Linked DNA regions of Ovis aries. Each later gene encodes a partner of the first gene's protein in a complex. Links are inferred from orthologs where the notes say so. Each region holds a gene or a part of one and is shown in the gene's direction. Other genes may lie near its edges. The genes, in order: INTS1, INTS12, INTS6, INTS4, INTS7 and INTS9.

What was found.
Region 2: INTS1 (region 1) and INTS12 share a complex: the UniProt entries of both Homo sapiens proteins name them as parts of the integrator complex. The link is inferred for Ovis aries from reciprocal best matches to the Homo sapiens genes INTS1 and INTS12.
Region 3: INTS1 (region 1) and INTS6 share a complex: the UniProt entries of both Homo sapiens proteins name them as parts of the integrator complex. The link is inferred for Ovis aries from reciprocal best matches to the Homo sapiens genes INTS1 and INTS6.
Region 4: INTS1 (region 1) and INTS4 share a complex: the UniProt entries of both Homo sapiens proteins name them as parts of the integrator complex. The link is inferred for Ovis aries from reciprocal best matches to the Homo sapiens genes INTS1 and INTS4.
Region 5: the proteins of INTS1 (region 1) and INTS7 are in contact, whole or in part, in a cryo-EM structure (PDB 8RC4), measured with the Homo sapiens proteins. The link is inferred for Ovis aries from reciprocal best matches to the Homo sapiens genes INTS1 and INTS7. Residues at the interface, in NP_001073922.2 of Homo sapiens: Leu1378, Gln1381, Gln1382, Gly1385, Gln1386, Ala1389, His1429, Phe1430, Leu1431, Cys1433, Pro1434, Arg1437, Gln1438, Cys1440, Gln1441, Pro1476, Ala1479, Gln1480, Met1483, Leu1484, Gln1487, Arg1552, Pro1554, His1555, Leu1556, Glu1557, Glu1558, Pro1613, Ser1614, Gly1616; in NP_056249.1 of Homo sapiens: His150, Asp151, Leu187, Ala188, Thr189, Pro190, Val191, Lys194, Thr223, Ser224, Tyr225, Pro226, Ser227, Thr228, Asn262, Asp263, Pro264, Arg265, Lys266, Pro303, Tyr304, Gln349, Glu350, Cys352, Tyr353, His354, Asn355, Arg357, Ala360, Gln384.
Region 6: INTS1 (region 1) and INTS9 share a complex: the UniProt entries of both Homo sapiens proteins name them as parts of the integrator complex. The link is inferred for Ovis aries from reciprocal best matches to the Homo sapiens genes INTS1 and INTS9.

The regions. Positions count from the first base shown.
Region 1 is NC_056077.1:41,825,879-41,829,378, forward strand, and holds part of INTS1 (integrator complex subunit 1), read left to right. Parts: intron 1-132; coding exon 133-273; intron 274-419; coding exon 420-594; intron 595-672; coding exon 673-796; intron 797-1,386; coding exon 1,387-1,517; intron 1,518-1,857; coding exon 1,858-1,987; intron 1,988-2,075; coding exon 2,076-2,302; intron 2,303-2,383; coding exon 2,384-2,507; intron 2,508-3,452; coding exon 3,453-3,500. UniProt on the Homo sapiens protein: Component of the integrator complex, a multiprotein complex that terminates RNA polymerase II (Pol II) transcription in the promoter-proximal region of genes.
Region 2 is NC_056059.1:19,838,465-19,842,564, forward strand, and holds the start of INTS12 (integrator complex subunit 12), read left to right. Parts: upstream 1-1,300; 5' UTR 1,301-1,469; intron 1,470-4,100. UniProt on the Homo sapiens protein: Component of the integrator complex, a multiprotein complex that terminates RNA polymerase II (Pol II) transcription in the promoter-proximal region of genes.
Region 3 is NC_056063.1:21,225,868-21,229,929, reverse strand, and holds the start of INTS6 (integrator complex subunit 6), read left to right. Parts: upstream 1-1,262; 5' UTR 1,263-1,787; coding exon 1,788-1,898; intron 1,899-2,062; exon of another isoform or gene 2,063-2,313; coding exon 2,314-2,391; intron 2,392-2,501; exon of another isoform or gene 2,502-2,755; intron 2,756-3,224; coding exon 3,225-3,374; intron 3,375-4,062. UniProt on the Homo sapiens protein: Component of the integrator complex, a multiprotein complex that terminates RNA polymerase II (Pol II) transcription in the promoter-proximal region of genes.
Region 4 is NC_056074.1:15,619,332-15,623,413, forward strand, and holds the start of INTS4 (integrator complex subunit 4), read left to right. Parts: upstream 1-1,282; 5' UTR 1,283-1,378; coding exon 1,379-1,432; intron 1,433-4,082. UniProt on the Homo sapiens protein: Component of the integrator complex, a multiprotein complex that terminates RNA polymerase II (Pol II) transcription in the promoter-proximal region of genes.
Region 5 is NC_056065.1:70,951,704-70,955,721, forward strand, and holds the start of INTS7 (integrator complex subunit 7), read left to right. Parts: upstream 1-1,218; 5' UTR 1,219-1,323; coding exon 1,324-1,417; intron 1,418-4,018. Other genes in the region: DTL (denticleless protein homolog), read right to left, coding at 817-868. UniProt on the Homo sapiens protein: Component of the integrator complex, a multiprotein complex that terminates RNA polymerase II (Pol II) transcription in the promoter-proximal region of genes.
Region 6 is NC_056055.1:103,363,042-103,367,293, reverse strand, and holds the start of INTS9 (integrator complex subunit 9), read left to right. Parts: upstream 1-1,452; 5' UTR 1,453-1,539; coding exon 1,540-1,548; intron 1,549-4,252. UniProt on the Homo sapiens protein: Component of the integrator complex, a multiprotein complex that terminates RNA polymerase II (Pol II) transcription in the promoter-proximal region of genes.

The DNA.
Region 1 (3,500 bases):
ATGGTTCCAGGAAACAGTGGTTTCAGGACCGGGGCCCAGGGGTGGCCCCTCGGGGAGGGAGTGTGTGTGGGAACTGGGGGACCACTCCCGGGGCCCTGGCGGGGGTCCAGCCAGTCACACTCTCCCCTGCAGTGCGGAGTGGGTTCTTGCACCTGGTGGAGGCCCTGACGTTCCGCGGGGACCCGGAAGCGGTCAGCTCCACCGTGCGTGCCCTCGTGGCCACCCTCAAGTCTGGGGAGCAGTGTGACGTGGAGCCCGAGCTCATCAGCAAAGGTATCTGGGCCGCGGGCTCCACTGAGGACCCCCTTGCCACTCCAGAGTCCCTCTGCCGGGCACCCCCAGCAGAACAGAACCCCGGGAGCGGGGCTGTCTATCCTGGAGCCGGGGCCCGTGTGATGGGCGCCCCCTCTGCCCTGCAGTTCTCCGGGGTTTGATTGCGGCGAGGTCACCTCACTTGGAGGAGCTGCTGGCCGCGCTCCTCTCCGCTGCACCCTCCGTCCCAGCCTCGGGGCCCGTGGCGGTGGTCAGCTCGCTGCTGCTGCCGGAGAAGGAGGAGCCCCTGGTCCCAGGGAAACAGGATGCCGACAGCTGCAGGTGAGCCGGCGGGGCTGCGGTCGCGCCTGGGGACAGCCCCGGGCAGCTGTGTCTGACCCCCGGCCCCCTTCCCTGCAGCCAGGAGGCCGAGCGCCTGGGGCCCTGCTCGGGGCTGCTTGTCGACTGGCTGGAGATGCTGGACCCCGAGGTGGTCGGCAGCTGCCCCGACCTTCAGCAGAGGCTGCTCTTCTCCCGCGGCAAGGTGGGCCTCGCCGTGCCCAGCACTCGCTCTTCCTGTTGGTTCTCACAGGCCCCAGGCTGGAGTCTCATCAGCCGGACAGGTCCTGAGTGTGCCGAGCCAGTTGCCACGACCGGCCAGATCTGGTCACAGAGGCGGGAGGGCAGGGGCGGGGTTGTTCCCTGTGGGCCCAGGTCCTCACAGGGCGCTGGAGGGAGTGGAGCCCAGCTCCCCTGACGAGGGGTGGGGGCTAGAGCCCGCCTCAGGGCCCTTCAGGCCGTGGGAAAACGCAGAAACACTGACCGGGAGGCCGGGGAGGGGCTGTGTGACCCCTGCCCTTGTTCCTGCCCAGTGCTGGCGGGTCTGCGTTTCTGAGGGTGTGGGTCACACTTCTGCGCCCAGAGTGCTGCTTGCGTGTCCCCGCTCTGAGAGGTGGGTTCAGTTCAGCCCACGTTTAATCTGCGGAGGGACCCACTAGCCTGGGAGGCCCTGCCCTGAAGTGACGGCTTCTCTCTGCCCTGTGCTGCCTCCCACGGGCTGCCTGCTGTCCACCGGCCCCACTCACCAGAGCTGGGCAGCCTGGTGGAGGCCAATCCAGGTTTCCTCCGTCCCAGGGCAAAGGCCACCCTGGCCCCCAGGTGCCATCTTTCCGGCCCTACCTGCTGGCCCTGCTCACACACCAGTCCAGCTGGCCCACCCTGCACCAGTGTATCCGCATCCTGCTGGGCCGGGGCCGGGAGCAGAGGTGAGCCCCCCGCCACCCATCAGGCCGGCTCCTTCCTTGTCACCCAGGGCTGTGTGGAGCCGCCCAGCGCAGAGCTCCTCTGGGAGCCTGGCCCGGGGGATCTGGCCCAGCACCACTCTGGCCCCCTCAGGACCTGGCAGGCCCGGGTGGCCCTGCTCTGGGTGGCCGGTCCCCTGTGCTCTAGTCACAGTGAAGGGCTGTTTGTGCCACATGGCTGCAAGCAAGGGTGGGTGGGGGCAGGGCTGGACGAGCTTGGGTGGGTGGCCCACGTCCTCTGCGGCCGGCCAGGGTCCCAGCTGACGGGGCATTTTGCCCGTCCCATCCACCTCCCTCCGCCCAGAGTCACGCCTCCTGCTGGGTCTGGCCTCCCCGCCTCCCCCAGGTTTGACCCCTCGGCCTCCCTTGACTTCCTCTGGGCCTGCATCCATGTTCCTCGGATCTGGCAGGGCAGGGACCAGCGCACCCCGCAGGCAGGTTTGGGGTGTCCCCTGCCCGGAGGGCGGGGTGGCCCAGGCACGGCCGTCCCGCGCGGGGCTGACCGACGGCGTCCAACTGCAGAAGCGGCGGGAGGAGCTGGTGCTGCGGGTGCAGCCGGCGGAGCTCGTGGGGCTCGTGGAGCTGATCCTGGCTGAGGCGGAGGCGCGCAGCCAGGACAGGGATGCGGGTGCTTGCGGGCTGCTCCAGGCGCGCCTGCCCCTGCTGCTGAGCTGCTGCCACGGTGGTGATGAAGGCATCAAGAAGGTGACGGCACACTTGACGGGCTGCGTCCAGCAGTGGGGCGACAGGTGAGGGCCCGCCCGGCTCAGACTGCGCGCGGGGGTGGGAGCTGCCCCGGCCACGCGACCACTGCGTCTGCTCTCCTGCAGCGTGCTGGGCCGGTGCAGCCGCGATCTGCTGGTGCAGCTCTACCTGCAGCGGCCGGACCTGCGGGTGCCCCTGCCCGACGTCCTGCTGCACAGCCAGGGGGCCGCTGGCAGCAGTGTCTGCAAGGTAAGGCCTGACGGGCTCCACAGGGCGCCTGGCTCCTTTGCTTGGGGGTGGGAACCCAGACCGGGAGGTAGGGAAGTGCTTTTTCTCAGAACTCGGTGAGTGTGGATGAGTATCTGAGGGCAGAGCCCACCCTGCCGCCCTCTCCTGTCTGACCTCTTGGAGGGTCCTTCCTCCTCCGGGAAGTCCTCCAGGTGTGGAGCGGGGCAGAGCAGGCATCCCCCCATATCCCTCTCATTCCGTGATGGGGACTGTTGAGAACCGCAGGCTGCACGCTGGGTGTGACATCTCCTGAGCCCTGTCTTCCTGCTCTGTCCCCACACGTCAGCAGAGTCTCAGCAGACTCTCTGCGCGCGTGCTGACTTCAGAGCCTCTCTGCTGGGCCCGTGTGGACAGCGTGTCCCTTCCTGGCTGCCTGCCTCCCCCGCCTGTCTAGTGTGGGTCCTCTGTGTTCAGCATCTGCCTTCCCCTCCTCTCAGTGGTGCCGGGGGGGGGGGGGGGGTGCTGTGGTGGGTCTCCCTGCCCCCTCCCCGCCTTCCCTGGGCAGGGCTCTGAGTCAGGTCTGCCTCCAGCCCTGCGTCTCTGGAGGAGGAGGGAGCGACGTTTCTTTAGCTGTGCTTTCTTTGCTTTGTGTGTGTCCCGTGTCACACACCTGAAGTTAGCTTTACCTGTGGGGTCGGTCTTTCTCACCTGAGATAGTTCAGGGCTTCTGGTCTGTCTGCGGTGAGCGGCTGACGTCGCACTGTGTGCTGAGGTTGGCCGGGACCTCCAGCTACAGCCAGCTTGATCCTCTGAAGCCCCAGAAAGCAGCGGGGGCAGGTTTCTCTGGGACACCATGAGGGTCCTCAGGGACTGTGCCAGGCCCTCGGGGCTGAGCCCTGGTGGGCAGGTGGGCAGGTGGGCATGAAGGCTGCGAGGGCCCTGGCCGTGACTTCCTGCCCGTCTCAGCTGGACGGCCTCATCCACCGCTTCATCACCCTTCTGGCGGACACCAGC
Region 2 (4,100 bases), on another chromosome or scaffold:
GAAGCCTGGTGTGTTGCAGTCCATGGGAATTGCAAAGAGTGTAACATGACTTAGCAACTGAACAACTACAAATACCACTCACCAGGGAGTTAAAAAAAAGTCACATAGCTTGATGTTCGTATTCAATATGACAGCAAACTACTCAGTAGTACTTATAACAAAGATTTTATTCCACACTATTTAAATGACCATGGTTAAAGTTTAAATTGTCATACCACTAGTTGTTGCCTGCTTTTGCATGTTCCCTTTTAAACAGTTTCTACATACGCTTAGGAGAAAAAGAAGTACTCGATCTCCTCTAGCAATACTTTTGCCAAGATGTATTATTAAGTGTTGGCATTTTCTTGATATCCAAGATAGGATCATGACATTAAGAATGAAGGAAAAAACCAAGTCACCTAATCCTAAACCAAAGTGAAACACGGCCTTGATGATGCAATAGAAGCAAATGACCCCAAATGAATGAAGCAAGTTCACTGGAGCAACAGTTTGCTAACATTCACATACAACTGCTCTCTCCAATGAGGAAGGGCTGGGAGAGAAAACTAAGTGCCAAAAAAAAAAAAAAGTTAAAGATGATCCAAGAAATCTACACAAACCATGAGTGAGCATCGCTCAGTCGTGTCCGACTCTTTGCGACCCCATGAACTGTAGCCCACCAGGCTCCTCCATCCATGGGATTTTCCAGGCAAGAATACTGGAGTGGGCTGCCATTGCCTTCTTCCCGACCCAGGGATTGAACCCAGGTCTCCCACATTGTAGGCAGACGCTTTACCGTCTGAGCCACCAGGGAAGTCCACACACCAACTATACCTAGCAGCAAATGGCAGAAGACCCCTGAGATTGCTGCAACTGGAAGTTGCTCCATTCCATCGTTAGAGAAAGCCACGGGCACTGGTCTTGGAAAAACTGGAAAGGGGACGGGAGCCTTCCCACGCTTGCCCGCATCGTCCATCCTGTTTCCCCCTATACTAAGAGGCGGTTTTTCGGGGTCACGGGGACTGCGCCCTCCTTACCTGGTCGCAGAGGCGCGGCCAGGCAGGGAGGGTGCGTGAGTGGGTAGGCGACAGGGGCCGCCAGCGCATTCCAGCCCCGCCCGAGCCGAGTTTCCCGAGGCCACTTCAGGGAGTCTTCGTCTGCTGACCGCTCGCTGCCAACGAGGCCACGAGAGAAAGAACGTCAAGCGCTTCAAGGAAGCAGCGGCGGCGGCCGTCATTCTTAATCCGGCGGACCGGAAAGAGAGGCTCACGTCACTTCCTACCGTCGCACAGTCAAAGCGTTCCGCGGCCGAGCCTCCTGCGGGAACCTTTGTTTTTCCGCTCTCGGGGCGGGCTGGTGGTGTTGGCACCGGTTCGCCAGGCCACCGGCAACGGACGGAGCAGCTGGGCGGAGCGGTGAATAGTGAGTAGTGACCGGCTGCCCGGCTCTCAGCCGACTCTCAGGGGCTTGAGACGTCCGCGAGGGGCGAGGTGGGAGAGTGGTTCCGTGGGGTCTTAGAGTTTTCTCGCTCCCTGTGGGGACGCCTCGCAGTCTGCAGGCGGTAGAGTGCCCAGGCTGACCGCTTTCTCCTTACAGTGAGGGTCGGGCTTCCACGGAGAGGAAGCCCCAGGGACTAGGTCCTTGGAACCCTTTCTCGGACCTTCCTTGGCAGGTTTTGGCGACTTCTCTGTACAGCTCCTTCTGTCTGCCTCTCACTTGTCAAAGACCTTGCCCTGTGCTAGGCCTTGGATGTGTCACGACTTTGGTCAAAATATTGGCATTCTTGTTCTGCGCGTCTGTGGTCACTTTTTAGATTCTCTGTCACTTGATTGGTTTGGAATCAAGGTCTTTCCACCTCACCTGTGTTTCCGGACGTGTGCCTAAGATATCAGTGTAACCTAGGGCCAAGAACTCGGTGAAGGAATAAAAAGGGCAGCATCTTTAAAGGGATGGGTTACAAGCGCTTGCAAAGATGAAAAGGCAGAGCTATCTAGAGCCGTTCTGTGATGACAACCCTAATATTGCTCTCTGTGTGAATAAGGTCAGTTTCCTGCATCTCGTTCACATGAAGATCAACTTTGCATTTCTTTTATGATTGCCGTGTTGAGTGGGAAATGGGATCTAGAGGAAAGCATATAATATATGAATGCCCAACTTAGTTTGGAGAAATCACAGAAGCCCTCAAAAGTGACATTTAAAGGAAACCTAGTTCATTGACTCAACAAATAGTTGTGAGAGTCTGTTAAGTTCGAAACACTAAGTATATAACAGTGACTAAAACAAGTCCCTGCTTGCATGGAGTTTACAGCCTAGTGAGATTAAAAAATTTAAACCAGATGAAGGATTGGCAAGAGACTGTTGCAGATAGGAACACTGTACAAGTCCCCAGTCTTGAAAGAGGTGTTTTTGTTTTGTACTGCCTTTCCCTTTTTGATGTTTTAGGGTTTGAGGGCAGGGCGAGCTAGTGGGGATGGGTCTGAGTTTCTTTTTTTGTAGCTTTTTGTTAAGGGACTTTGGAAATATTTAGAACTGTGTAGAAGCAGAGAAAAGATCATTATACTTTGATCTCTAATAATTCTATGGCCATTATATTGTGGTACTTTGCAAAATAGCAAAATGGTAGGCAAAAAAGATAGGAAGAGAGCACAGCAATCAACTCCAGTATTCTTGCTTGGAGAATCCCATGGACAGAGGAGCCTGACAGGCTACAGTCCATAGGTTTGCGTAGAGTTGGCCCCCACTGAAGCCACCTAGCACACAAACACACACAGGCAAAAAAGATAGCTTCCTCCCTTAAAGTACTGAGAGTTTTATAGAGACTATAACAAATGTCCAAAAAATTGAAAAGTGTGGTTGAAGGTAGAAAACTCCCATACCATGAGAATGCTCTGCTAGATATCCTTGGAGAGCAGGATTAGTAGTCCAGGAAGCAGAGCAGAACACACTAGCTATGAGTCAAGTCCTCATGAGAAGTAGTATTTGAACCAGGTCTTGATAGGATCTGGAAATATTAAAAAAGGTAAAATGCTTCTCAGACAGACAAATTGAGTATAAGTAGCAAGCCCAGCTAATAACTCTGCCCTACTGAAGATCTAGGGATGAAGAATTAAAGTTTTTGTGCCAGTTACTGAATCTTTTTAAATGGTAGGCCAAGAAATTAGGCTTTATTTTAAAGGCAGTGGCTTGCCTTAATTTTCAAAGAAGAAAGAAAGAAAATGTGTTGCAGGAACATTAATATAGCAACTGTCTTGATGTCAAGGAGAATAACTAGATTTTTGCTGTAGTACAAAAAGCAAGTGAAAACCTGAATCTGAGTAATAGCCTTGAAATGAAAAACAGCAACAGATGTGAGAAATGTTGCAGAGTCAGAATTCACAGGAAAGGCCTGCTGATTGTTCAGATTAAGGGATTGGGAAGGATTCAGTGAGCAAAGGTTTAGGCCTCAGACCTGATGAATGGAGAGTGTGTCATTTATTGACAGTGCAGGACAGGGAAGTTTGGGGGGAAGATATTCATAATTCCAAATTCAATCATAGCTGAGCTTGAGATACCATTAGGGCAACCAGTTAGATATGTCTATTAAGCAGTTGGAAATATGGGTTTAAGCTTAAGAGAGATGGACTGGGAGTAAACATATGAAATCATCTCTCTACAGATGCTAGTTGAAAACATGATATATAAAGATTACAAAATAGGAAACTGGTAGCAGAACTAAAGAAAATAGACGAGGACACAATTACTTCAGCAATACCAAGATCAATGGAGTTGAAAAGATAACTCACAGAAAGAAGAGCCCAAGATAGAAAAGGAAAACCAGAAGAGCTGAGTATTTCTCATGGAGAAGAAAGGTTTTTGAAAGAGACAGTGAATTCTCTTGGCCAGCGTTACTGAGTGACAGATTTACCCCACAGTTGCGGACCTCTTTAGGACCATAGAAGAAAAAGGAATTTCTTTCACTATTCAGTAGTCCTTTCTTATCCATGTAGGATATGTTCCAAGATCTCCAGTGGATGCCTAAAACCATGGATAGTACCACACCCTATATATACACCATTTTTTTCCTGCATTCTGCTGCTACTGCTAAGTCACTTCAGTCGTGTCCGACTCTGTGTGACCCCATA
Region 3 (4,062 bases), on another chromosome or scaffold:
AAGTCAAACTGTCGACTAGCATATTTGAGGAAACTTTTCCTCGGACATTTAAGATTCATTATGTCATCTGGCTTGATGACAGGGGCTGGTTTTTAACCGAGAATGTCTTCCCTCATGCAGTATCTGGATGGAGCCTGATACAGTGTATGTGAAAGAGCACTGGAAGGGTTATGCAGAACCAATCTTACGTGTCACCTGGGCAGCCAAGTCAGTTTGTTTAAATAAAGAGTAATGGATTATGATTTGCCAGCGTCCCTTTTAGCTCTGAAAACTAACATTCGATGGCTCTAAGTAAATATGGCTTGACAGAGGTTACTTCTTTGGGTAAGACGGGTTATTTCCCTCCCAGTATAAAAAGGGCTATAAACAGTTTATCGATATTTGCATCTTTCCCGACTGTCCTTTTAGGGCTGAGTTGGTGGGGGGCGAATGGCTTATATCCTTTTCGGTGGGTCCTGCAACGAGAGGGGTACTGGCCAGGTCCAGCCCTCGCCCTCGGTCGCTGCCCAGGGCCAAGCACGGCTGCGGGCGAGGGTTGCCCGTGGTCCCCACTCCCCAGCGGGAGCGGTGTGACTAGCGGAGGAGATTAGTCCCTGGTCATAAACAACCTCTCACTTCCCCTCCCCCGCCCCGCCCGCGCCGGGGCCGGCCCTCCGAGGGCCAAGGAACCTCCTCCGACGACCGCCGGCCCAGAGCCCTCCTCTGGGGGGCGACCGCGGGCCTGCCGCTGACTCCTACCCGGGCTTTTGATCACGCTATACTCATCCCTCCTCACTGGCCCACAGGGAAGGGGTTCGCTACCAAGACCTCAGAAGAGGAGCTGAGGCCAACCTCCATTTCCCTTCCCCCGACCCCTACCACCTCCGACAGCCAAGGAGAGGCCGCCGTGCCTGACGCGCAGACTCACAGCCGCGCCGGCCCTGGGCGCGCCGACGCAGCCCCCACCCCACGGCCCTTCCGTGGCCAGTCTCCGCCCCTTCCCGGAGCCCGCCTCCGCGTCGGCCGGCCCGCCTGCTCTCCCCTCGCGCTCGCTCTCGCGCGCACCCGACGCCCCGCCTCTGCGCGTGCTCCATAACTGTTCCCGGAGCCGGCCTCCAAGCTTTCCCCGCCCCAGAGCTGTTTGAATATGCTAATAAGAGGCCAGGGGCCAGCCAATAGACTAGCGGGGCGGTGCGTCACGTGGCCAGAGGACGTGTCAGAGGGCGGAGCCTCTGCGGCCCCTGCCCGAGTTAAAACCGGAGTGTGAGGGAGAAAAGCGCTTCAGTAGCGAGAGGGGCTGAGAAAGTGGTGACACCGCCGGGGTGCGGAGGGAGTCCCTGAAACTTCTCCCAACAGCCCCAGGGCCAATCTCCCCTCAGCCCACTCCCCTCTTCGCCAGCTCCCAGGTCCCCACTCCCTGCGCCGGGGGTGGGGTAGGGAGCCAGGCCCGTCTCCCGCTGGGACACACACAGGGGCCGGGAGCGGGGACGGGACCCCCGAGGCGGGGGGGGAACGGACCGACAGACAGACGGCCGGGCGCCCGCCCCAGCGGGCAGGCAGGCAGGAGGAGGCGGAGGAGGCGGGGGTACGACGGGGAGGACTGGGTCCGGGGAGTTTCCTCTCAACTATCGGGGGAGAAACTCCCCGCAGCCGGAGGAAAGACCCAGACGGTGTTTTCCTCCCGGGGGCCGCGCTCCCCCGCCCCGCGTTAGCGGCGGTTGCCGCCGCCGCCGCCGCCACCGGCGCCTCCACCTCTACCATCTCCTCTTTCTCCACCACCTCGGGCCCCGGTGTCCCCGGCCAGCACTATGCCCATCTTACTGTTCCTGATAGACACGTCTGCCTCTATGAACCAGCGCAGCCATCTGGGCACCACCTACCTGGACACGGCCAAAGGCGCGGTAGAGACCTTCATGAAGGTACCGACCGACCGAGCCCGGGGGGCGACCCCGGCCCGGCGGCCCGCGGGCGGCAGGGGTTGGGGGGAGGGCGGCCAGGGGCGGCGAGGCGGAGGTGTCGGGGACCTGACTGCGGGAGCTGCCGGGCTCGGGGACCCCCTCCCCCACCGCGCGGGCGGGCGGGCGGCCGGGCGCTGCGAGCCGGGCTCGGCCAGGGCCCGGGCTCCGGCCCCGGGCGGTGTGTGTGTGAGGGGCCGATGTGTGTGTGTGTGTCTGTGTGTTGGGGGGGTGGGCGGCCGCGGCGTGTGCGGTAACTGTGGGGGGGGGGGGTGCGGCGGGGCCGCTGGGCGCCCCTTCTCCGCCTGCTAACCTCGCCTGTGTGCTTTCCTCTCGCCCGCCCTGTTCCTGCTCCCGTTTTCCACCCGTTCTCCCGCAGCTCCGTGCCCGGGACCCTGCCAGCCGAGGAGACAGGTATATGCTGGTCACTTTCGAAGAGCCACCCTATGCTATCAAGGTAACAACCCTCGCCCTCCCCCTCCCCTTCCCCGTCCCTTCCTCTCTCGCCCTCCCCGCCCCCCCATTCACCCTTCCTTATGCTCCCCTCCCCCACCCGCTGTGCTCTAGGCGCTGAGGTCTTCTCCCCTGCGGGCTCCCACCCCCTCCCCCCGCTCCGGAGCGTCCCGGCGCGGCGCGGAGTCGCCGGGCCACCGCCGTCCCCTCCCCAGCCCGGCCCGGCGGCGGCGGCGGCGGCGGCGGCGGCGCGGCGATCAACATGGCCGACATTTCCCCTCCGCGGCGTGAGCGGCAGCAATGAACTGTGGGGGATATTTATTCAAGTTAGCCCGAGTGACAGCCGGGCCCGGCCGCGCAGAGCCCGGGTTTGCATTAAAGGGGAATCGGCTCGAGGCCGGGGCGTGCCGACGGGCGGGGGGCTTGCGATGTGGGGTGGGGTGGGGTGCAGCGGGGCCGGGTCTCCGGATTCTCCCCGAGAGGGCCGCGGGGCCGGTGGGGCAGCTCCGGGTGAACTTCGGAAGTGCTGCTCACTTCTGCTTTCCACCAATACCTCTGCATCCCCGGATTTTTGGGCACGAGGTTGGGGAGTGCATCTCCCCGGGAAGTTATGAAGTATTAAGGCTGGTAGCCACGGAAAGCTGTAGAGCCAGCAGGTTTATTCTCGGCCACCTCTGGAAGAGAGTTTCTTTAGCAGAGAGACGGCATTGACACTTTACCCCAAACCGTACTGTAAAGTCGAGCAGCTGCTTGGTGAACGGCAGATTGTTAACGACCGTCCGTGTGTACCTGGCTTTAAAAGGTGAAAAAAAGAAATTCTCACATTTTTCTTTTCAGGCCGGATGGAAAGAAAACCATGCAACGTTTATGAATGAACTGAAAAACCTTCAAGCTGAAGGACTTACGACTCTTGGCCAATCCCTAAGGACAGCTTTTGATTTATTAAATTTAAATAGATTAGTAACTGGCATAGACAACTATGGGCAGGTAGGTTGAATATTAAGGTGGAAACACAGTTGATTTTTCTTTCTGTGGACAAGCAGCCCAGTCCAAAAGCTATATACTGTGAAATACAAATATGAAACATTGCAGATTAAAATACAGTATGCACATAATACAAAGTGGAATTCTGACCACAATGTATATGGTTTTATAGCTCTCAGGTTTTTTTTTGTTTTTTGTTTTTTAAAATGTATTTGGGTTCCGAATTTGAATCTGAATGCTATAAAGTTGACATAAATTTAGTTTTAATCTCTTAAAGCTCACTCAGGAAATAAAAGGAAAACATCCTGTTTCACCACACTGTTTCTCTGATGGCCTACCCACTGGCAACTGCAACCCTTGCAATGACTGACAGACACTAGTTAATTAAAATGATCTTAAAATGTTAGAGGAAATTATTCTATTTGTTGCAAAAGGGCTTAGTTTAACTGTGTTGTATAACAGTTCTGAAAGGTGAAAAGATTTTCAGTGTACTGGCTGAGTACATTAAGATTTCTCAGCTTTTAAAGTGTGTTCAGTAAGCCACTGCAGGAAGAATTCTGAAACCATTCTTGAATTAAATGGCAGGTTCAGAATTTTGTTTTTAAACTCCCAACCCTTGAAAGAGAGGCTGTTGGAAAATCTGAAAGAACCCTTCCTTTCTCCCTGAATTCCCCCAGTTCCTCGAATACTC
Region 4 (4,082 bases), on another chromosome or scaffold:
AGGTAGCTTTTCAACAACTGGAATGAGAGAGCAGGAAAAAGTACCCTAGGCCAGGAGAGGTTTGGAGGGGTGGCATACAGCTTTGTAAGCAGATAGGGAGGGGGGGGGGTCCCTAGAAAAAGATGTAAGAAAAGCCATTTTTGGCTTAAGCCATTGTTTGATCTAAGCCTGACCACAATGCTTGTCCTTGAACAGGTCTCTAATTAATTATCTTGAGAGAAGTGAGGGAAGGAAGGAACAAAAGAAATACGTTTTCTTGTTCCTTGCAGTCAAAAACCAGTTTTTCCTTAAAAGATATATGTAACAATCTGATATATGTCTTTGAGTTCTGCAAGAACTAATGTTCCCCACTCACCTTGAAGATGGAGCGGTGATGTCGACCCTCTTGAATTCAATCAACTAAAGCTTGGGCCCTGTAGACCTCTCCCCAATCCAATGCTGAATTCTCCTCTGCTCAAGCGCCTTCATGAATGAATTTGCATGCACCCTTAGGCTTCCGTGGTAGGTCAGAATCTGCCTACAGTGCATGAGACCTGAGCTCGATCCCTGGGTCAGGAAGATCCCTTGGAGAAGGGGACAGCAATTCACTTCAGTATTCTTGCCTGGAGAATTCCATGGATGGAGTGGCCTGGTGGGCTACGATCAATGGGGTCTCAAAGAGCTGGACACCACCGAGCGACTAACACTTAGCTTAAAGCGTCCCCAGTTTTGCTGTTTGGAGACACTGCTTTGGGGAAGATTGCTTGTGCTCTCCTTACTTGCTGCAAGTAATATGTCCTTACTTCTTTGGAACTTTGGTTAGTTGGGTCTTCAGGCTTGACAACAACCAGAAGGCAAACCCAGTTTCTGAGCAACAGCTCGATCAAAAGGCGAGCACAGGGGACAGACAGCAAATACTGAGAACAGCAATGGATGATGGAGCTGTCAGTCTGACCTCTTTGTGTTATCTTCTGAGTCAGAATCCTCACACAGCTCCAGGTTTTACCTCTAGCTCTGGATAGCTCCACCTCCGCCCTTTACACTGAAGCACTTCCCCCGACCCTCCGTTTCCCTCCGTCACTCAAACCCAACAGAAAGCCCCCCAAAGCTCCCATTGGCTCCTCCAGCCTTTCCGACCCGCCTCCTCCTGCCAGAAGCCCCGCCCCCTGTGCTACGCTCCGGCTCCGGTTTCCGTTCCTCCCGCGCGGCAGGCGTAGGTCGCTAAATCCGGACGCACAGCGACAAGGCAGTCGAGCAGCCGGAAGCGGCTTCTCTTTCCCGGAACCCCACTGCCTTGTGGGACAGCGGCTGGTTCCTCCCTCCTGGGCAAGTTTGTTCGTATTCCTCTGCCCCCCTCAGCCCCGTCGGGTACGGAAGCTGAGAAGGTGCACGAACAACCATGGCGGCACATCTGAAGAAGCGGGTTTATGAGGAGTTCACTAAGGTGGTTCAGGTAAGCTCTAGAAGGAAAGGTCCCAGGACTGGTCTGGGAAAGGGGAAGGTAGGTTATCCGCGCCCCCAGACACTTTGCCAGAACTGGCGCCACAAAGCTGGGTAGGGTGTCAGTGCTGCCAGTGCTTTGGTAGGCTGCCTCTCTGACTACACTTTAGTGGGCGTGTTCATTGGCCGCTGCTGTTGTCAGTATTAACATGTGCAGTCTGACACTAAAAAAAACTATTAGAAGAAGCAAACAGCACCTTGCAATTTACGAAAGTATCTTATCTGTTATCTTATTTTTTTCATGTTACCTTCAGTTCAGCAGCTCAGTCGTGTCCGACTCTTTGCGACCCCATGAATCGCAGCACGCCAGGCCTCCCTGTACATCACCAACTCCCGGAGTTTACTCAAACTCATGTCCATCGAGTGGGTGATGCCATCCAACCATCTCATCATCTGTCGTCCCCTTCTCCTCCCGCCTTCAATCTTTGCCAGCATCAGGGTCTTTTCCATTGAGTCAGTTCTTCGCATCAGATGGCCAAAGTATTGAAGTTTCACCTTCAGCATTAGTCCTTCCAGTGAATATTCAGGACTGATTTCCTTTAGGTTCGACTGGTTTAATCTCGTTGCTGTCCAAGGGACTTTCAAGAGGCTTCCCCAAACACCGCAGTTCATTAGCATCTTCATTTTACAAATGAGGACTTTGAGACTTCTGGTGGGGTATTGACAAATTTCCTTGCAACTCCCATTACCAAAAAAGTGCCCAAAGCCAAGTTGGCTGTATGCAGAGCTCTAAGGGTTTGGAAGAGGAATCTATAGGAGTCCTCAAGACCCAGTCACAGCAGACGAGAGTCACAGGCTTCATAGGGGTTGAAGTTTTCGTTGGTGGAACAGCTCACCACCAACCTTTTATAGTTTACCTGTAAAGGAGGGCAGTACCATCCTTCCTCCTTTGGAGTTGTTTCAGGACTGAGGGGCCCAGACCGTGTCAGTTAGTCAGTTGAGTCAGTTCAGTCGCTCAGTCGTGTCCAACTCTTTGCGACCCCATGAATTGCAGTATGCCAGGCCTCCCTGTCCATCACCAACTCCCGGAGTTCACTCAAACTCATGTCCATCGAGTTGGTGATGCCATCCAGCCCTCTCATCCTCTGTCGTTCCCTTCTCCTCCTGCCCCCAATCCCTCCCAGCATCAGAGTCTTTTCCAATGAGTCAACTCTTCGCATGAGGTGGCCAAAGTACTGGAGTTTCAGCTTTAGCATCATTCCCTCCAAAGAAATCCCAGGACTGATCTCCTTCAGAATGGACTGGTTGGATCTCCTTGCAGTCCAGCGGACTCTCCAACACCACAGTTCAAAAGCATCAATTCTTTGGGACTCAGCTTTCTTCACAGTCCAACTCTCACATCCATACATGACCACTGGAAAAACAATAGCCTTGACTAGACGGACCTTTGTTGGCAAAGTAATCTCTGTTTTTGAATATGCTGTCTAGGTTGGTGATAACTTTCCTTCCAAGGAGTGTCAGCAGTCAGTGATTCTCTATGTATTTCCTCAGAGAGATCGCTAAAGTAGAGGTTGATCCCAGGTCATACCCTGTGTCCTGCTTTTCTGACTTTGTGTATCCAAATCATCTGGGCTCTTGTTAAAATGTAGATTCTACTTAGTAAGTGAATTGGCTGGGGGAGGCAAGGCAATAATCTACATTTCTGAAAAGCCCCCGGTTAATGCCAGCCAATAGCAGGTTTCCATCCATAGACTTGTGGCCTAGGAAGATTTAGACCATGCATTAGGACGCTGATCCTTAAGTATTTCATTTATTCCTTCAACAAGAGTTTATTGAATAAAGTAGTGGTTACTATGTATCAATATTAGGTATGGTGAAAGGTGCTGAGCTATAAAATCCAGTACACATTAGGGTGTCTGTCCTTTCGGAACTCAGGTGAGAGGGAGATGTGGAGCACCATATCTGAGATTATAGTACAGAGGGGTAATTGCATCGACAAACCAAGTCTTCCTTACTCTTTTACAACTACTTTTTGTGAAAACTATCCAAACTCCCTTGCCCTTTGTGATTAACAGTATTCTTTCACTGCCTTTTTCTTGTGTGTGTGTGTGGCATATTTCCATTGTGTGTAGGGAAGTTAGTTGGCTTCTTATTCTTTTTTTTTTTCTGAAAATAACTTTGATACTTACCTTGTCACTGTTATTGCTCCTTTTTATGTAAAATTCGTTTTCTTGAACTTATAGAGTGAGTCAAGATTCAGGAAAGCTTTACAGAGCTCCCTCTTCCGTGGCTTGCTTTTTGGGATTTCCTGGCTCTGGATTCCTTTGCCCCCATTTGAAAAACAAATTGTGCCAAAATAAACATAACAGAATTTATCATTGTAACCATTTTTTAAGCGTGGAGTTCAGTGACGACATGTACATTCACTTTGTTGGGCCGTATCACTTCCTTTCTTTACTATATTCTGTTGTTTCCTCTCGCCAAGACTACTCACCGCTCCTCCAGCATGCCATGTGTTTGGACCTTTCCGAACCTTTGTGTCTGTTGTCTCTTTTACGTAGAATGGGTGTCACTCTTCCTGCTCTTTTTGTTCTCCGCCCAGTGGACTTGGATTTTGCTTTAGTCTCTCCTCCCCTACTTCTGTAGCACTCATCTATTTGTAC
Region 5 (4,018 bases), on another chromosome or scaffold:
TGATGACACTCAAACCTAAAGCTCAAAATTCTTATTGCCAATGTTTTAACCTAAGGAACTTCAAGAACTGGAAAGAATAAATTGGAAGCCTATATACTAACATGGAAGTATTTCCAAGTTCTATCGTAAAAGTAAAGAGATAAAACATTTTAACCCCATTTCCATAAATAACAATACTTCCTACTTCTGGCATTGAAAAACATTTTGGAATAAAATACTTCAATCTATTAATAGTGGTCATTTGTGGGAAATGTGCTTACGGGCATTTTTCACTGTATTACTACGAATTTTTATACCCTTGAATTAATCAGGAAGAAAAAATTCTGACCATGCTAGAAGCAGATGTTCTGTTTTCCCTGCCTGACTGAGTTCTTTTTAAGAGCCGATCCTATTCTCTGGTGTATATAGCAAACGGTAGGGCTCACTAAGTTTCCACTACAAATGAATGAATTAATCAATGCGTACGATCCTTGACGATCTCACACAGCTGTTCGTTCAGAAAGCCAAACACTCTCAAATGCACGCGTCTTCCAGTTAACGTGCAAAACAGACATAAACCGTAATGGAGGTCAGTTAACTCAACGTCCCTCCCTCCCTCAGCCTACACGACTAAAAAAAGCCTCGATTACGACGAAAACTATCTCGAGGGCACTAAAGTGCGGCTTTCTTCAGTATTCCTAGCTAGTACGAACTCATTCTGGCTGGGGGAGAACTCGGCGGCTGGGAAACTGAACTGAAATCGGCATTGGTCCGAGGAGTTGTTCTGGGGGAGGTGAATCCCGCCGGCAAGAAACAGCGGTTAGGGCCGTTACTCACCATTTCTCGGGACGCCAAACTGGGGCTGGCGGAGCACCGAATTGAACAGCATCTGGGACGGAGGAAAACGCTCAACTGAGGAAAAAGCCGTGGAAATGCCTCCAGATTCAGCAGAAACTGTATCCTGCGCCCCTTAGACCACGACTAAGTTATTGCCTCCAACTCCCGCCACTGTAAGCCCCGGTCACCAAACTCCCCGCCAAACTGACGTCACGCCCTCTGATTGGCTCTCGGAGCGGCGTCCGGGAGCGTACGAGTCACTTCCCCCTTCGAAGCCCCGCCTCCTTCTCGCCCAGCCGCGGGAACCTAGCGTTCCAGAGCTCCCTGAGCGCCTGCGCGGGGGGCCGCAGGGGCGCTGGCGAACGGCAGGGAGCCCAGGGCGCATGCGTAACACGGCTTGACAGAGCGCGGAGGAAAAATCCGCGAGAAGGTGGTGGAAGAAGATGGCGGTGGTGGGGCCGAGTTTGCAATCTCTATGAATAGGCTAATCGAGTAACTGTATGGGTCATGGCGTCAAACTCAACTAAGTCTTTTCTGGCAGATGCCGGCTATGGCGAACAGGAGCTGGATGCTAACTCTGCCCTTATGGAGTTAGACAAAGGTATTTCGAAAGAGCGGGCTGCGCGTGTGTGGGGGGAAGTGGCGCCACCAGGCGGTGGTAGCCGCGCGAGAAGCTGGGGAGGCGCATGCGCGGTGCTTCCTGGGCGGGGCGGGGTCGGGCGCCTTTGCCTTTGGTGAGCCCAGGGCTTTTCGCGGCTTTGGGAGGTTGGCCGAAAACGGCAGCGTTGCTTGATTGGCCTTGTACAGCTGAAAAAGTAGAGAGCTCCCGCTAAAGGCTCGCTTGGACCGCTTGAGGGCACAGCCCCGCGATTTTCCACGCAGTTTCTAAAAGTGCTGTATTGAAATTATGAAATTATTTTTCAGTATGTGCAGTTAAGACCAGGTCTTCACCAAGACTGCTGCTTCTTGCACCGACTTTACAGCGATTCATTTAATTTCTGTAATTCTTACCTGCCGGTTACTAGGCAGGTCAAAAATAGGGCCAAGACATCCGAAAAGCATAGCCCCTATTCATTCTCTGCTTCCCTGATAGCTCAGCTGGTATAGAATCCGCCTGCAATGCAAGGTTCGATTCCTGGGTCCGGAACATCCGCTGGAGAAGGGATAGGCTACCCACGCTAGTATTCTTGGGCTTCGCTTGTGGCGCAAGCTTAGTGTAATTAAAGCAATGTACTTTAAGGGCAGGGTCAGATCAATGGAAAGATTAGAGAATCCGGACTTACTTGGGAACTTGTGTATGATTGATGATTTTCTAACTATATTTCCTATATTTGGTAGTTTTAAAGGGGGTATTTGAAGCCTATCAATAAAGTAGTGTTACTTCTGAGAAACTACAATTAAGTCCTAAAAATACAATAAGTGAGACATCACATATCCTATTTCATCCATTAAGATACATATTTTTTCACATATTAACATCTCTGAAACAGAGTCATCTTAAAAACCTGTAAAATAAAGTCTTAGTTATTATTTAATTGGGCTTCCTTTGTGGCTCAGCTGATAAAGAATCTGCCTACAATGCGGGGGACTTGGGTTGGATCCCTGGGTTGGGAAGCTACCCATTCCACTATTCTGGCCTGAAGAATTCCCTGGAGTGTGTATAGTCCTTGGGGTTGCAAAGAGGCGGATACGACTGAGCGACTTTCACACACATTCTCTGCAAATGAGTTCAGTTTCCTTATGGCAATGAAGGGATGGGACAGGCTTGGTGTAGTAGTAGAAGCTTTGGATAGACTTGAGTTGAATTCTAGTTTCGCTAGTTTTATGATCATGGACATGTCATTTAACCAAACCTAATCTTGGTTTTTTTCTCTGCAAAATGAGGAAAATACCATTGAGCTGGCAAAATGGTTGTAAATATTAAGTGATGTAATAGTATGCAAAAAAGTCCTTATTAAATGCAGAAGAGATTTGCCTTATCTTTTAGAGAGGGATTTGGAAGGCAAGGGCAGGTATTTCTTAGTAGAGAACTCAAAGTATTACAGTTACTCTATTGTTTCAGTGTACTTGTTATTTTTATTGAATGGGGGAAACATCACTTGGTATACAGTTAATTAACTGTAGCCAGTGGGTAATATGTTAAGAACTGGACTAGCAGTTAGAAGGATTTTTAAGTCCACTTGGAGCCACTTCCCAGCCCTCTGACTTGGACACTTTGTTAACTTTTCTGGGACTTCAATTTTTTTTTTTTTTTTTACCTTGTAGACATTTAAAGTGCAGTTGGTCCAGATAAGAGTTTCTCAGACTTAAAAACAAACAAACAAACTTTTAACTTCCTTTGATCAACATGAAAATTTCATAACACTCCAATGAGATATTCCTTTGGTTGAGTCATAGTAGTGCAAGTCCATCATCCAAGAAAATGATGTTGAGCTTTGCTTTCTCTTAAGAAAAACTATAGGGCTTTTTCCTTCTGAAATAGAAAATCATAATATCAGATGTGTTTTTTAAACACTGCATAACCTTTTCCTCCCCATTCTGTTAATTCCTTCCTTATTCCCCAATAAGAGTTGCAGGTCTACATGTCTAATATTTCTACTAAATCTCTAAAGAGATTTTCTACCACTGTGGTCTGGGTGGACTCATCCCATAATGAGAGTAGAGCAGTAGTGTAGAACAGCATTGGGATGGGACTCTGAAGAAATGAGGGCTCTAGAATTATTTGATTCCTAAAAACTTGCAGTTGTGGTAAGAAAAAAATGTAACACAATTTTTCCTTCCCAAAAGTTGAAATAGGAATATTTTAGACCTGTAAGAAGTGTATAGATGGTTATTGAGTGTTTACCTATAAACCAGGTGTCAGTCCTAGATCATGTTTAATCCTCCCAGCAGCACCTTGGGTGAAGTAAGATGTTATTCTATTCCATAACATCTTACAGAAGAACGCAAAGTAACTTTTTGACCAACCCAGTTATTTTACAGGTGGAAGTTGGTCTGGGGTTGCTTGAATACATGGTGCCACACAGATAGCAGCGAGGCTACTGCTGTAGAGAGGAGGTGATTGTAATAATCCAGGGAGAAGAGAAGAGTGGCTTGGGCCAGGTTATAGTGAAGCTGTGTGAAGTGCTGAGATTATGTATGTATTTTGAAGGTAGGGCCAACAAGATTGGCTAATGAATTAGTTGAGGATGTGAGAATAAGA
Region 6 (4,252 bases), on another chromosome or scaffold:
AAAACACGGTTCCGGAATAAAATATTAAGAACACTCTTCCTTTCCCACCTAGCTACCGACTTAAGGATGCAAAAAGCCATCTCCACCGCACCTCATCTCTCCGAGGCGCCTGCCCTGAGTTTGCGGTGGAGCTGGTCCCGGGAGACGGGGAGGAGTGTGAGCCGCCGATGGGACACAAACGAGTTGCTCCCCGAGGCCACCCCGCGCCGCTCCGCTAGCCCAGAGGTCCCGGAGCCGCACCTCGCGCACGCCTCTCCGCCCAGGCCCAGCTAACAGCTCCGACTCCGGCTCTCGAACTTCCTCTCCTGAGACATTTATTCAAGGCTAACCCATCGCCCGAGTGCACGTCACCCAGTTTCAAACACAGCTCTGCACCCCAAACAAACCCACGCACCTCAAATTCCCCTCACAGTTTCCCAAACTCCAAACTGGAGACCCCACCTCCAGGATTCAAACCTTCCGCCCACTGGGGAGGCAACCAGGAGAAAAGAGTTGGGAGCACCCGACGCCTTTCAATTACTGCCCCCACAAACTGCCCCACCCCAGACCCTGCGTTCGGGTCACCCCCGCGAAACCCCACGCTTCCTCCTACCTCTCAGTTGGGCCGCTTAAGACACTCATCCCCAGTCCACTCACTTACTCCCCCCAACACCGCCCCCCCCCAAAAAAAAAGTGAAGAGAAAGAAGTGAGGAAAGAGACTGGAGAGACTTGAGGCTTCCAAACCACTCGACTCACCTCAGAATGCTTGCTGAGTTCTCTCCGCCCGGCACAGCCCCCTCCCCAACGTCCCGGTACGAAGGGCTGAGGTCTGAGGTAGGGAGGAGGGGAAAGCGGGAGGGGGAGGGGTGTCTTCCGCGTGGGGCGCCCGTCGGGAGGGGTCTGGGGAGGGGTTGAGGCCGGCGCAGGAAGAGGAGAAGGGGGAGGGGAGGCCCCTATCTCCCAGTCTCCCCCTGAAAAACCTCCCTTGTCTCAATCACATCAGACTGACTGTCTTTGTCTGGCTGACAACCGCCATATTGATATCAACAGCCCCGCTCCCACCTGCTGCCACCGGGCGGCCCTGGGAGTTGTAGTTTTTGTCTCCCTTGAGTAAAGGTGCGGGACTCTGCGTCCCGAGGCCCCAAGGAACTACAGCTCCCGGCAAGTACCGCGCCAGTGCGCCTTCCCACAGGGAGGAGGGGAAAGGGGCGCCAGAGCCGTAGGGACTACACATCCCAGCATACCATGGATTCTGGGCCCAGATGAGGGACATGATATCATGCTGGGGTGAAGAGGCAGGATGAATTGGCGGCGCGGATGAATTTGAGCTGACGGAAGGAGGCGTTCTAAGAGGAGAGGAAAAGGAAAGATGACCACGGTTCCCATGATGCACGGAGAGATGACTACATTTCCCATGATGCACCGGGAAGGAGCGAAGGGGGAAAAAAGACTGCATGTCCCGCGATGCTCTCGGCGGGCCCGTCGTGGAGATTGAACCGGAAGACGCTTTCTGGGTTTGAGAAGTCGAGGAACTGCTCCTTACCAGCCAAAAGTCCAGCATGAAACTGGTGAGTCTCTGCTCTTAGATCGGAGGGCATATCCTTTTGGAATTCGTCGTTTCCACCTTGGGAAGGGAACCGTCGCGGACGAGGGGTGGCAGGAAACTAGAAGGTGGAGTGGACCAAGGAAAGCTGATGTTTGTTGTTGAGTTTGAATTCCAACGCAGACCCTTCACAACTGCTAGATGCAATTCATCCCTTGGCGCGGCCCTTTTGGTTAGATAAGAGATTGAATCTTGTCACCTTTCTTCACAAACGAACCAAGGTTGGACTTTATGAACCAGGTTTGATTTGTTTCCCGCCTGCCACGTGAGTGTTATAATTGGTACACTTCTTTCCACGGGATTGATACTTGAAGCGTTCCTTTTTACAGTTGTTGAGAAGGTTTGGTAACATGAACAGAGTTTAGAAAATTCTAGGCCGATCTTAATCTCTTATTTAATTCTCTGTTATAGACCCCTAACTTCCCTTGATCACTCAAAGGAGGTCGAAGTCAGAGTGTGATCTTGGATGGTTTGAGTCTTAAATTCTGTATAAGATGGGCTGAGAGGAAGTGTTAACTGGCGTTACAGTCTAGAGCTGTAGGGACTGCGTGAGCTAAGGTTATATGGAGCATGCCAGGATACCTGGAAAAGTTCTGCATCACAAAACTTGAGACGCTTGGCTTATAGGAAAGCTGTTCAGGCTTTTGTTTTGAGCCATTTAATTCTCAGTGTGCACAGATTTAACTAACTTACTCCAACTAATTAATTGGAATTAGTAATAGCATAATTTGAGTAGAGAAGGTGTGAGATGCTGTTTCTCAGGCTTTAAAAGTCATGTTCCTGCAGCCAGGTATTGTCAGGCTTTACTTTCTGAAGTTTCTGAGGAAAAACAAAAGGTTTCTCTTAATTATTTGAGCATGCTTTTGAAAAGTACGTGTGTATGTACCCACACACGGTACAGGCATATATATTCTGCACAGTGTCAGCTGTTCTTTGAGATGGCAGAGAACATAAGAAAGGTGGATTCAATTCCAAAACTGTCTCTATCTAAAGCTGTTTCTATTAGAAGGACGCACAGATCAGTAGACCTTGAGAGTGTCAATTTGCTTTGGAGTCAGTTTTCCAAACATTTCAAAATGCAGAATTGAAAATCACCACCCTTGTCCTAAAGAAGCATGCAATCTAATGAAGAAGATACAAAGTAATGAAAAAGTTATAATTCACCTCCATCTGGGTGAAAGGAGTCATCATGTTTAGGGTTTGCTGATTGAGAGGATACTGGGGGTATGTGGGGGAGTCAGATACAGCTCCTTTGGAAAGGTAGTTCTTGAACTGATAAGAAGGTCAAGTGCGCTGGGGCCTTCCTTGAAGAGGGTTCAGCTGAGAGAAGCCAAAGAGCTTGGCACCTGAATGGTTGAAACACAGACCAGGTGTCGTCAATAAAAGATAAATCATGGTTGATGTGTGTGGTGCGAAGGCAGGCAAGTGGGAAGCAGGTTTTTTCCTATAACAACTCATTTGCTGATTGTATCAGAGCCAGGGTTTAATGTACATATACTTTGGTTTGCTTATAAAATTCTCCTGCTTACTTTATTTAGAGATGTGAAAACGTGGAAAAAGTAGGAACATTTTTTTCCTTTAAGAACCATAAAATGCCTCAGAGGAAGAGGGATTGTTCTATCTATACTCCTTCCCTCTTTATTGTTCATCCACCTAATAACTAAAACTCATTTGGTACTTGATGATTTATAATACAGGAGTATCTTTCAGAAACACTGACAGCAAGTTAGACTTCTTTTTTGTCCTGCCTCCCATACAGTTGGGCTTTCCAGGTAGTGCTAGTAATGAAGAATCCACCTGCCAGTGCGGGCAACTCGAGATGCGGGTTCGGTGCCTAGGTCAGGAAGATCCCCTGGGAATAGGAGATGGCAACCCACTCCAGTATTCTTGCCTGGAAAATTCCATGGGCAGAGGAGCCTGGTGGGCTACAGTCCATGAGATTGCAAAGATCTGGACATGACTGAGAGTGACTAACACTTTCATTTTTTCTTTGTAATATCAGGCAACTTTTTTTGAGGAAAATTCATCTTCAATTAATCAGGACAATTTTGAAAAGAACAGGAAAATTAGAAACATATCCTCTAGCACATTTTAGAGCCTATTCTCCTTTTAGTATCGATTGAACCTGATTGGGTATACCCTGATGGCCAAATTCAGCAAAGCATAGAAAATTGAACTCACCGGGGTCTTTAACAAAAGACTTTGGGAGCCCCCCCCCCCCCGCAAAAAAAAAAACCAAATTCATTGACAGAAATCAAGTTTGAAACATCATGGCCAGGAATTTAGTCATTCAAATAGATGAACGTTAAAGTGAATAAAATAACTAGCGGTTCAAAAATAAATCATTTGTCACACTTCCTGTAGATAGTTCCAGAGCTGGAGAGAATCCTCTAGTTTATTCAGTCAATAAGGATGTATTATACAAACACAGTATACCCGTGGCATTCAAAGTTTTAATACTTTGCATTTTAACTATTGAATTTGACCCCAAGGATCAATGACATGGAATTATTTGTAATTTTGCTGAGACGAAAGTTTGAATGTGATTTTAAGATGACTGATAATCCTTAGTGAAACGAGCCTGATTGCCTCAGAATCCAGGACTTTCTGCAGTTCCGTTGCTCTCTTGTTAAAGATCTGAAAGAAAGGTCACTTAAACGCTCGTTCTA